Bombyx mori: one gene and its partner. The protein of the gene in region 1 purifies or fractionates together with the protein of each later gene. This does not show direct contact. Links are inferred from orthologs where the notes say so. Each region holds a gene or a part of one and is shown on either strand. Other genes may lie near its edges. The genes, in order: protein kibra and merlin.

What was found.
Region 2: the proteins of protein kibra (region 1) and merlin purify together in Drosophila melanogaster (affinity purification with western blotting; 3 studies listed by BioGRID). This does not show direct contact. The link is inferred for Bombyx mori from reciprocal best matches to the Drosophila melanogaster genes kibra and Mer.

The regions. Positions count from the first base shown.
Region 1 is NC_085120.1:6,101,695-6,105,523, forward strand, and holds part of protein kibra, read left to right. Parts: intron 1-903; coding exon 904-1,006; intron 1,007-1,566; coding exon 1,567-1,668; intron 1,669-2,737; coding exon 2,738-2,842; intron 2,843-3,284; coding exon 3,285-3,402; intron 3,403-3,829. UniProt on the Drosophila melanogaster protein: Regulator of the Hippo/SWH (Sav/Wts/Hpo) signaling pathway, a signaling pathway that plays a pivotal role in organ size control and tumor suppression by restricting proliferation and promoting apoptosis.
Region 2 is NC_085122.1:2,596,360-2,600,188, reverse strand, and holds part of merlin, read left to right. Parts: intron 1-544; coding exon 545-691; intron 692-1,236; coding exon 1,237-1,425; intron 1,426-2,008; coding exon 2,009-2,202; intron 2,203-3,015; coding exon 3,016-3,226; 3' UTR 3,227-3,229; intron 3,230-3,624; exon of another isoform or gene 3,625-3,829. UniProt on the Drosophila melanogaster protein: Regulator of the Hippo/SWH (Sav/Wts/Hpo) signaling pathway, a signaling pathway that plays a pivotal role in organ size control and tumor suppression by restricting proliferation and promoting apoptosis.

The DNA of each region.
Region 1 (3,829 bases):
AACTATGTTCCAGTAAAGTTCGGCTTGCATCTTTTTTTTATATAGCTTAGGTCGGTGGACGAGCTCACGGTCCACCCGGTATTAAGTGGTTACCGGAGCCTACAGACATCTACAACGTTAACGCTGACACCTACCTTGATATATGAGGTCTCAGTTTTTACAGTACAATGGCTGCCTCACCCTTCAAATCGAAACGCTTCACGGCAGAAATAGGCAGGGTGGTGGTACCTACCCGTGCGGACTCACAAGACGTCCTACCACTAGTAAAGATGTACTCGTGAAAAATCGACGCAAAAAATAACCAGTGTGTTTAGTGCGAGTTTTTTAACGTTCTCGATAGCGTAAAAGTTAGCTTATATTTGTATGGAATGGAATGTTCCAACTGCATACAAAATTGGCTTAACTTTTACGCTATCGAGATTTTTTTTATATTTATTGCTTAGATGGGTGGACGAGCTCACAGCCCACCTGGTGTTAAGTGGTTACTGGAGCCCATAGACATCTACAACGTAAATGCGCCACCCACTTTGAGATATAATTTCTAAAATCTCAGTATAGTTACAACGGCTGCTCTACTCTTCAGACCGAAACGCATTACTGTTTCACGGCAGAAATAGGCAGGGCGGTGGGTACCTACCCGCTCGGACTAACAAGAGGTCCTACCACCAGTACCGCTACGTTAAAAAACATTAAGAAACTCGCACTAAGCACACGGTACCGGCCACTTGTCGCGTTATCGGTACATATATATCTAACGCATGTCACTATATCGGATCCGTGCGAAACCCACGCCTCGGCTCGTGGCGCTGTCAGTTCGCTAACCAGACAGGCGTTCGCTTTCACGCGCGAGGTCACCGATGGACAGCTGGATAAGAATTAGGTTTTATTGTGCGCCTCCTTTAGGTCGAAAGACAGAGACGGCAGCAGCGAGAACTGGAAGAGAAACTGGCTGAAATGAGGATAGGCGTGGCCACCGGACTGGACGAAGTCACCGGCCTGGCTACAAGTGAGTGCTTCGTTGCTTAGAATCGAACGGTTTTTTGGGTTTGCGGAAGTTGACTTACGAACAGCTTAAAGATGAATTTTTTTTTATTGCTTAGATGGGTGGACGAGCTCACAGCCCACCTGGTGTTAAGTGGTTACTGGAGCTCATAGACATCTACAAGGTAAATGCGCCACCCACCTTGAGATATAAGTTCTAAGGTCTCAGTATAGTTACAAAGGCTATCCCACCCTTCAAACCGAAACGCATTACTGCTTCACGGCAGAAATAGGCGGGGTGGTGATACCTACCCGTGCGGACTCACAAGAGGTCCTACCACCAGTCACATATGGTTTTTTCATATACATGTAGTTTTGAGGCTAACCTACACCCATTTTATAATAATTCCAGTAATCTTCAATTGCTAATTAACACTAAAATATATCTCAAAAGTTAATATTTTAAATTTTACACTCCTTTAGAAAATAATCAGTTTTTTTCATTTCCTGAACTTTTTATATTTTCAGAGATGTGCCCTTTTCGAAATTGCATAATCAATTAATTTTGACCTTAAATATGTTCAGTTCCAGTACAACTCCAAGGTCCGGGTCGACCCTGTGAGCCGCTGTCTCCCATATCGGAGACCCCCCCGCCACCCCTGTCTCCAAGGACTCCCTCGTCTAGTGGTAAATAAACCAATATTCACTATTGCTTAATCTATTATATTAATACGTGAAGCAAAAACTTTGTATCCCTTTTTAAGAAAATTGCGAAGACGGAGGAATATGAAATTTCCCACACTTATAGAGAACATAGAGAAGGAGTGTAGAATGTTAATATTTTTTTTCATTATGCCTAAAAAAATCCATTAAATCAATAAAAGAAACATGACACACACTGCCATGTATTTGACACACACTTAAATACTCTTCGTTTATTGTCAAACTTTTGTTATTGTTTAAAGTCTGTGGTCAAATTGAGAATAGATTAATATTGTTTGTCTTTAATAGTACTGGCGAAATCTGTGATTATAGAAATATAATAAGTCTGATAATATTATAGAACCATAATAATGTTGAAGCTTATAATTTCAATTAACTATAGTCGAATTTCCACTACCAAGGGAACAACTAGTTTCATTTATTCCAGTAAACTTTCCAAAGCTTAGACGAAATCTATGTATGTAAAAATCGTCCCTTCCAATTTCTTAATAGCAAACAAAAAACTTTATTAACCATTAAAATTGATAAAGCATATATTTAGTATAAGGAATACTCGTTGACCAAAGTAGTGTCTAGTGAAGAAATAATGACGTCATAATACAAATTTCAACATTAATCGGGATATTGAAAAAAAAACGAAAAAAAAAAATTAAAATCGCTATTTGCGTATAGTTTTTTATAGTTTAGACGAACAAGCTCTGGACTTAGCTGGTGTTAGGTGGTCACTCACGTGTTCTAACCTTCGGTTCTGTAGTACCACGGCTGCCCTTCAAACCGGAGCATTTGACTGAAAAAACCCATAGACATAACCCACTGAGTTTCTCGCCGGATCTTCTCAGTGGGTCGCGTTTCCGATCCGGTGGTAGATTCTGCGAAGCACTGCTCTTCCTAGGGTTAATGTTAGCAACCACGTCAGGTTTGAGCTCCGTGAGCTCACCTATTTGTTAGGGTTACGCTGAAATGGCCTCTCAAAGCCGTCTGCTTAGGTTGGAATATCAGGCCACCACTAAACTAATAGCTTACTACTACGCAGGTACGAACACTAGATCAGTCTCGGCTGCGGTGAGCGACGAGTCAGTGGCGGGAGACTCGGGGGTGTTCGAAGCGGCGCAAGCGGCCACCGACGCTTCCAACGCCGGTAACATATACGACGACTTCTGATTCATTACACTCTTCATTGGTAGGCAGCGGCGCGACTCTGCCCCTTGTATTGCTGTTGTCCATGGGCGACGGTATCCACTCACCATCAGGTGGACCGTGCGCTCGTCTGCCTACTAGGGCGAAAAAATATATCTGTAGAATGTAAATTAAAATAATTTACGAAAGATTTAGGTAGTAATGTTTGTTTTTAAATATTTATTATTTAAATTTTGATATTCCGTCTCTATATTATCTTAACAATGCGTAAACGAAATGAATGATTTCTTTGCTTCGGGTTCTTTGCTTCGGGATCCCAATAGGCGAAGGTCGATGGATATATTCTTCGTGATCGATTTGTAATATATAAGTGTTAGTTGGAATACCACACTTTTCGCACCTTATGCACCAGATAAAATCTAATAAATAAATCGTGTTTACAGTGAACAGTGCACAAATTGAGATCAAATTGCGTTACTGTCCCGACGAGACTGCGTTGGAGATCGGCATACTGAGGGCTCGGAATCTGCACGCGCTCTTCATCGACATGGGAACCGAAGTGTGAGTGCAACACTAATTTAATTTAATTTAAACAAAATATTATTTGTAAATAATTATCTCGGTAGCAGTAACATAGCGAATAAGCAACATAACTTTTGAATTTATTATATTATACCAGTATGGATAGATGGATGTTATCAGTAGGTACATTAATGATTTGTTTAATAATTTAATATATTATCGAAATATAATTGATTTAAGTATTCACCATATCGGTTTAAGTTATTTTTATTATAAAACACAGATAAAATGTTTTCTGTGTAAACGAAAACAATACTTTTGTGTTACATATATAAGTCGTCTATTATCAAAGGTGGCAATCTGTGCATTTGGACAAAAAATGTTATTGATATGTCAATACAGATTGATTTGAATATAATCGTCTCCTTCAAAGAATACGGTTCAAAACCTGCATTAAATAAAGGTT
Region 2 (3,829 bases), on another chromosome or scaffold:
ATATAAGTTCTAAGGTCTCAAATATAGTTACAACGGCTGCCCCGCCCTTCAAACCGAAACGCATTACTGCTTCACGGCAGAAATAGGCGGGGCGGTGGTACCTACCCGTGCGGACTCACAAGAGGTCCTATTTTTGCCGTGACGCAGTAATGCGTTTCGGTTTGAAGGGTGGGGCAGCCATTGTGACTATACTGAGACCTTAGAACTATATCTCAAGGTGGGTGGCGCATTTACGTTGTAGATGTCTATGGGCTCCAGTAACCACTTAACACCAGGTGGGCTGTGAGCTCGTCCACACATCTAAGCAATAAAAAAAAAATAAAAAACCTTCAGCGTGGAAGTCAATCGTGAACATTTGTTGAGTACGTATTTCATTAGAAAAATTGGTACCCGCCTGAGATTGAAACACCAGTGCATCGCACAACACGAATGCACCGTCCGGTCTTATCCATTAGACCAGGACGACTTAAACCAGGTCATAAAATCCCATAAAAAATATATTCACGGAGCAAGATGTTTTAAAATGCAATACCTTCTCATCCAGCGCCGGTCCGAGGAGACGGCAGAACTATTAGCTGAGAAAGGTAGAGTAGCAGAGGAAGAAGCGTCTCTACTCGCGCAGAAGGCGGCGGACGCTGAACGAGAGAACGCTAGACTTAGGCTGTCTGCCATCAAGACTGAAGAGGAAAAGGTACGTTTATTACGACACAGTTAAAGTTCATAATGGCTTGTTTTTTAATCCCTCGATCTCGCGACGATCTGGTTTTATTGTATCTAAGTATTACGAATGTCATAATCTAAAAAAATTCAACATCCGATATTTATTTTGTAATAATAAATGCGCATGCAACTTGATGCCCGTGAAAGAAGTGAAACTTCTTTTGCGGTGTGTAGTATTGTGGTTTTCTTCATTTATCCTACTGGTTTTACAATAATATTGCTTTAAATAAATTCGTCTAGAAATTAGTCTAAAGGACCGCGACAAACAAAACTACAAACGAATAAAGTGAATTATAGAAGTTAAACTTCTTTAGGCGCATTCAGAGTAAAATTTAACCCGCGATAGATTTGCTACGTCCATAGAAAAAATATACAATTTAAGAAGGGCCAGAGCGAGAACATAGATAGAGCGTCTAATTTACGTTGTTCTTACGTTATTAAGTAGCTTCTTAGGCTACCATAGATTAGGTAGGGAGAAAAAAATACTTGTTATATAGCACCCTGGTCTGCGAACAGGTACACTTGGAACGCAAGACCCGCGAGGCGGAGTACCTGACGGCGCGGCTGGTCGAGGAGTCGGAGAAAAGGGCCGCCGAAGCCGAGAGACTGAAGGCGGAACTGCTGACCGCCAGAGTGGCGGAGAAACAAGCCAAAGAGAAACTCCTCAACTTCCTCAGCAGGACGTCGACCGGATCCTTGCCGCAGGTAACCTTGTCTACAGTTTGCAGACGCGGACTCCTTGTGTAAGGTTGACGGGCGCTTTCAATCTGTAGGTCGTGGAATAACGCATTTTCAATTTAAATCTTCGACTACCGTCACATCAGCGAAATATAACGTATATCAATATTTCCTTAGGCTTTTGCAAATCGGCTTAATCTACTTCCTTTAAGAGTTTTATTTTTCATTTTTAAGACAAAGTTAGTTTAGTTTGAAAACCGTATCACGATACCAATCGAGTAATTATTAGATTGTCTTTATTCAATACTAGCTGTACCCGTCCGCTTCGCTGGGCATTTAAAATTGACATTATTATTTCTCACCCTCACAAAGATTCTCATCATTTAACGTCCCCCCAACTGGTGTAGGGAGTCCAAGACTCTTATAAATATTAGCCTATCCATTAAGTACATGTATTTTCTACATGGATACCAAGTTTCAAGTCAATCGGATGCATGGTTCAGTAGTTATAACGGAATATCCGTAAAAACTACTGTAGATTTATATATTAGTATAGATATTTTTTATTAAATGTGTCGAGGTATATAACGGTGTTTCTATATTGACGCAGCAATTTCCGGCGTCGCCGACGGTCCCGTGCAGCCTGTTCCCGTCCACGTGCTCGCTGCCCGCCGAGCTGGGGGGCGAAGGCCTGCAGAACGGCGCGGCCGGCGCCCCGGAGCCCGAGCTCAACTCCTACCAGCTCGTGCCCGACGATTCCGACCCGCACATACACAGGCTCTCGCTGGAAATCGAAAAGGAGAGGTTTGTTACTATATATGTCTCTGAGTATGAGCTTATTTTATAGTTGTCTATGGTGGTGGTATTGTCCTACGGGAACCTCATCAGAGCGATCAATAAAAAATATATATATTTCTGACGGGTAGCCATCACAGAACACAATATATTTGACAGTCATTTTCAAGATAAGCTTGCATATCTCTACTGGTGGTAGGACCTCTTGTGAGTCCGCGCGGGTGGGTACCACCACCCTGCCTATTTCAGCCGTGAAGCAGTAATGCGTTTCGGCTTTAAGGGTGGGACTGGCGTTGTAGATGTCTATGGGTTCCAGTAACCACTTAATATCACCTAACTAAGCAATAAAAAAATATATATACAAGTTCCGAACAACAACATTGGGATCGTCGGTCTACCGAGCAATATCTCCCGCTCGGTGGAAGATCTTCCTGTTATAGTATACCTACATATATCATTCCCCTATATAAATAACAGTAGAATTAATCAGTGTCACTTGAGGTTCGAACCGAGTATGCGAAGTAATGCTTCTAGGCTACACACACACAAAGACATTTTTTTTAATGGGATTTTATGACCTGGTAACTAAGACCTTTAGGTCATATCTTATTTTAATTCATATTCTTAGTTTTATGAAAAAATGATAATATGGAGTGAAATTAAATGAAAATGATTAATTTGAGACATCAATCAACTGGCATGAAATTAAATGAAATGAGATGAGATGATATGGGACACATAAAGACATTCGCAATATTTGAAGTCGCTCGGGGGCTCGCCGGTGTCCGCAGTAGAGGCATGAGGTCCGCGTTGTGCCCACAGGGTGGAGTACCTGGCCAAGTCGAAGCACCTCCAAGCCCAGCTGGAGTCCCTGCGCGGGGAGTTCAGCGTGCTGCGGGGCGAGGGGCGCGGGGAGGGGCGCGGCACGCTGGACCGGCAGCACGCCGCGCGCCCCGACGACAAGTACTCCACGCTGCGCCGCCTGCGGCAGGGCTCCACGGGGCAGCGCCTCGCCTTCTACGAGGATCTGTGAACGGTATGACGTTTAAGTAAGATTAACATTATCGAAGTTAAACTTCGCTGGTCTCGTTAATAATAAAGTGACGTCGAGTTACTGGTGGTAGTAGTTTTTGTGCTTTACTCTGTGTATAATAGTCTGCCGTGAAGCAGTAATGCGTTTCGGTTTGAAGGGTGGGGCAGCCGTGTAACTGTACTGAGATCTTAGAACTTATATCTCAAGGTGGGTGGCGCATTTACGTTGTAGATGTCCATGGGCTCCAGTAACCACTTAACACCAGGTGGGCTGTGAGCTCGTCCACCCATCTAAGCAATAAAAAAAAGCCTTTGCTCGCCCACCTGTCCTGGTGAAACTGGAAAGGCCTCCGGGCCATCAGTAATCATTAAATCCAAAAAAATATCTTTAAATCGCAGGTAGGGTTGCCACGCCGCCTGCTGTCTGGACGTAGTGCTGATTGGGCCCAGGACGCCAATAAAGGGTTCCGTATGTTGGAAAACAATTAACGGGAATATTACGTTTTTTTTTATGAAGAAATGTGCCATTGACAAACTCTTGGGAGATGAGATCGCGCGAGTTGTACCAACAGCATCCCGATGATAATCCATAAATAGTTCAATT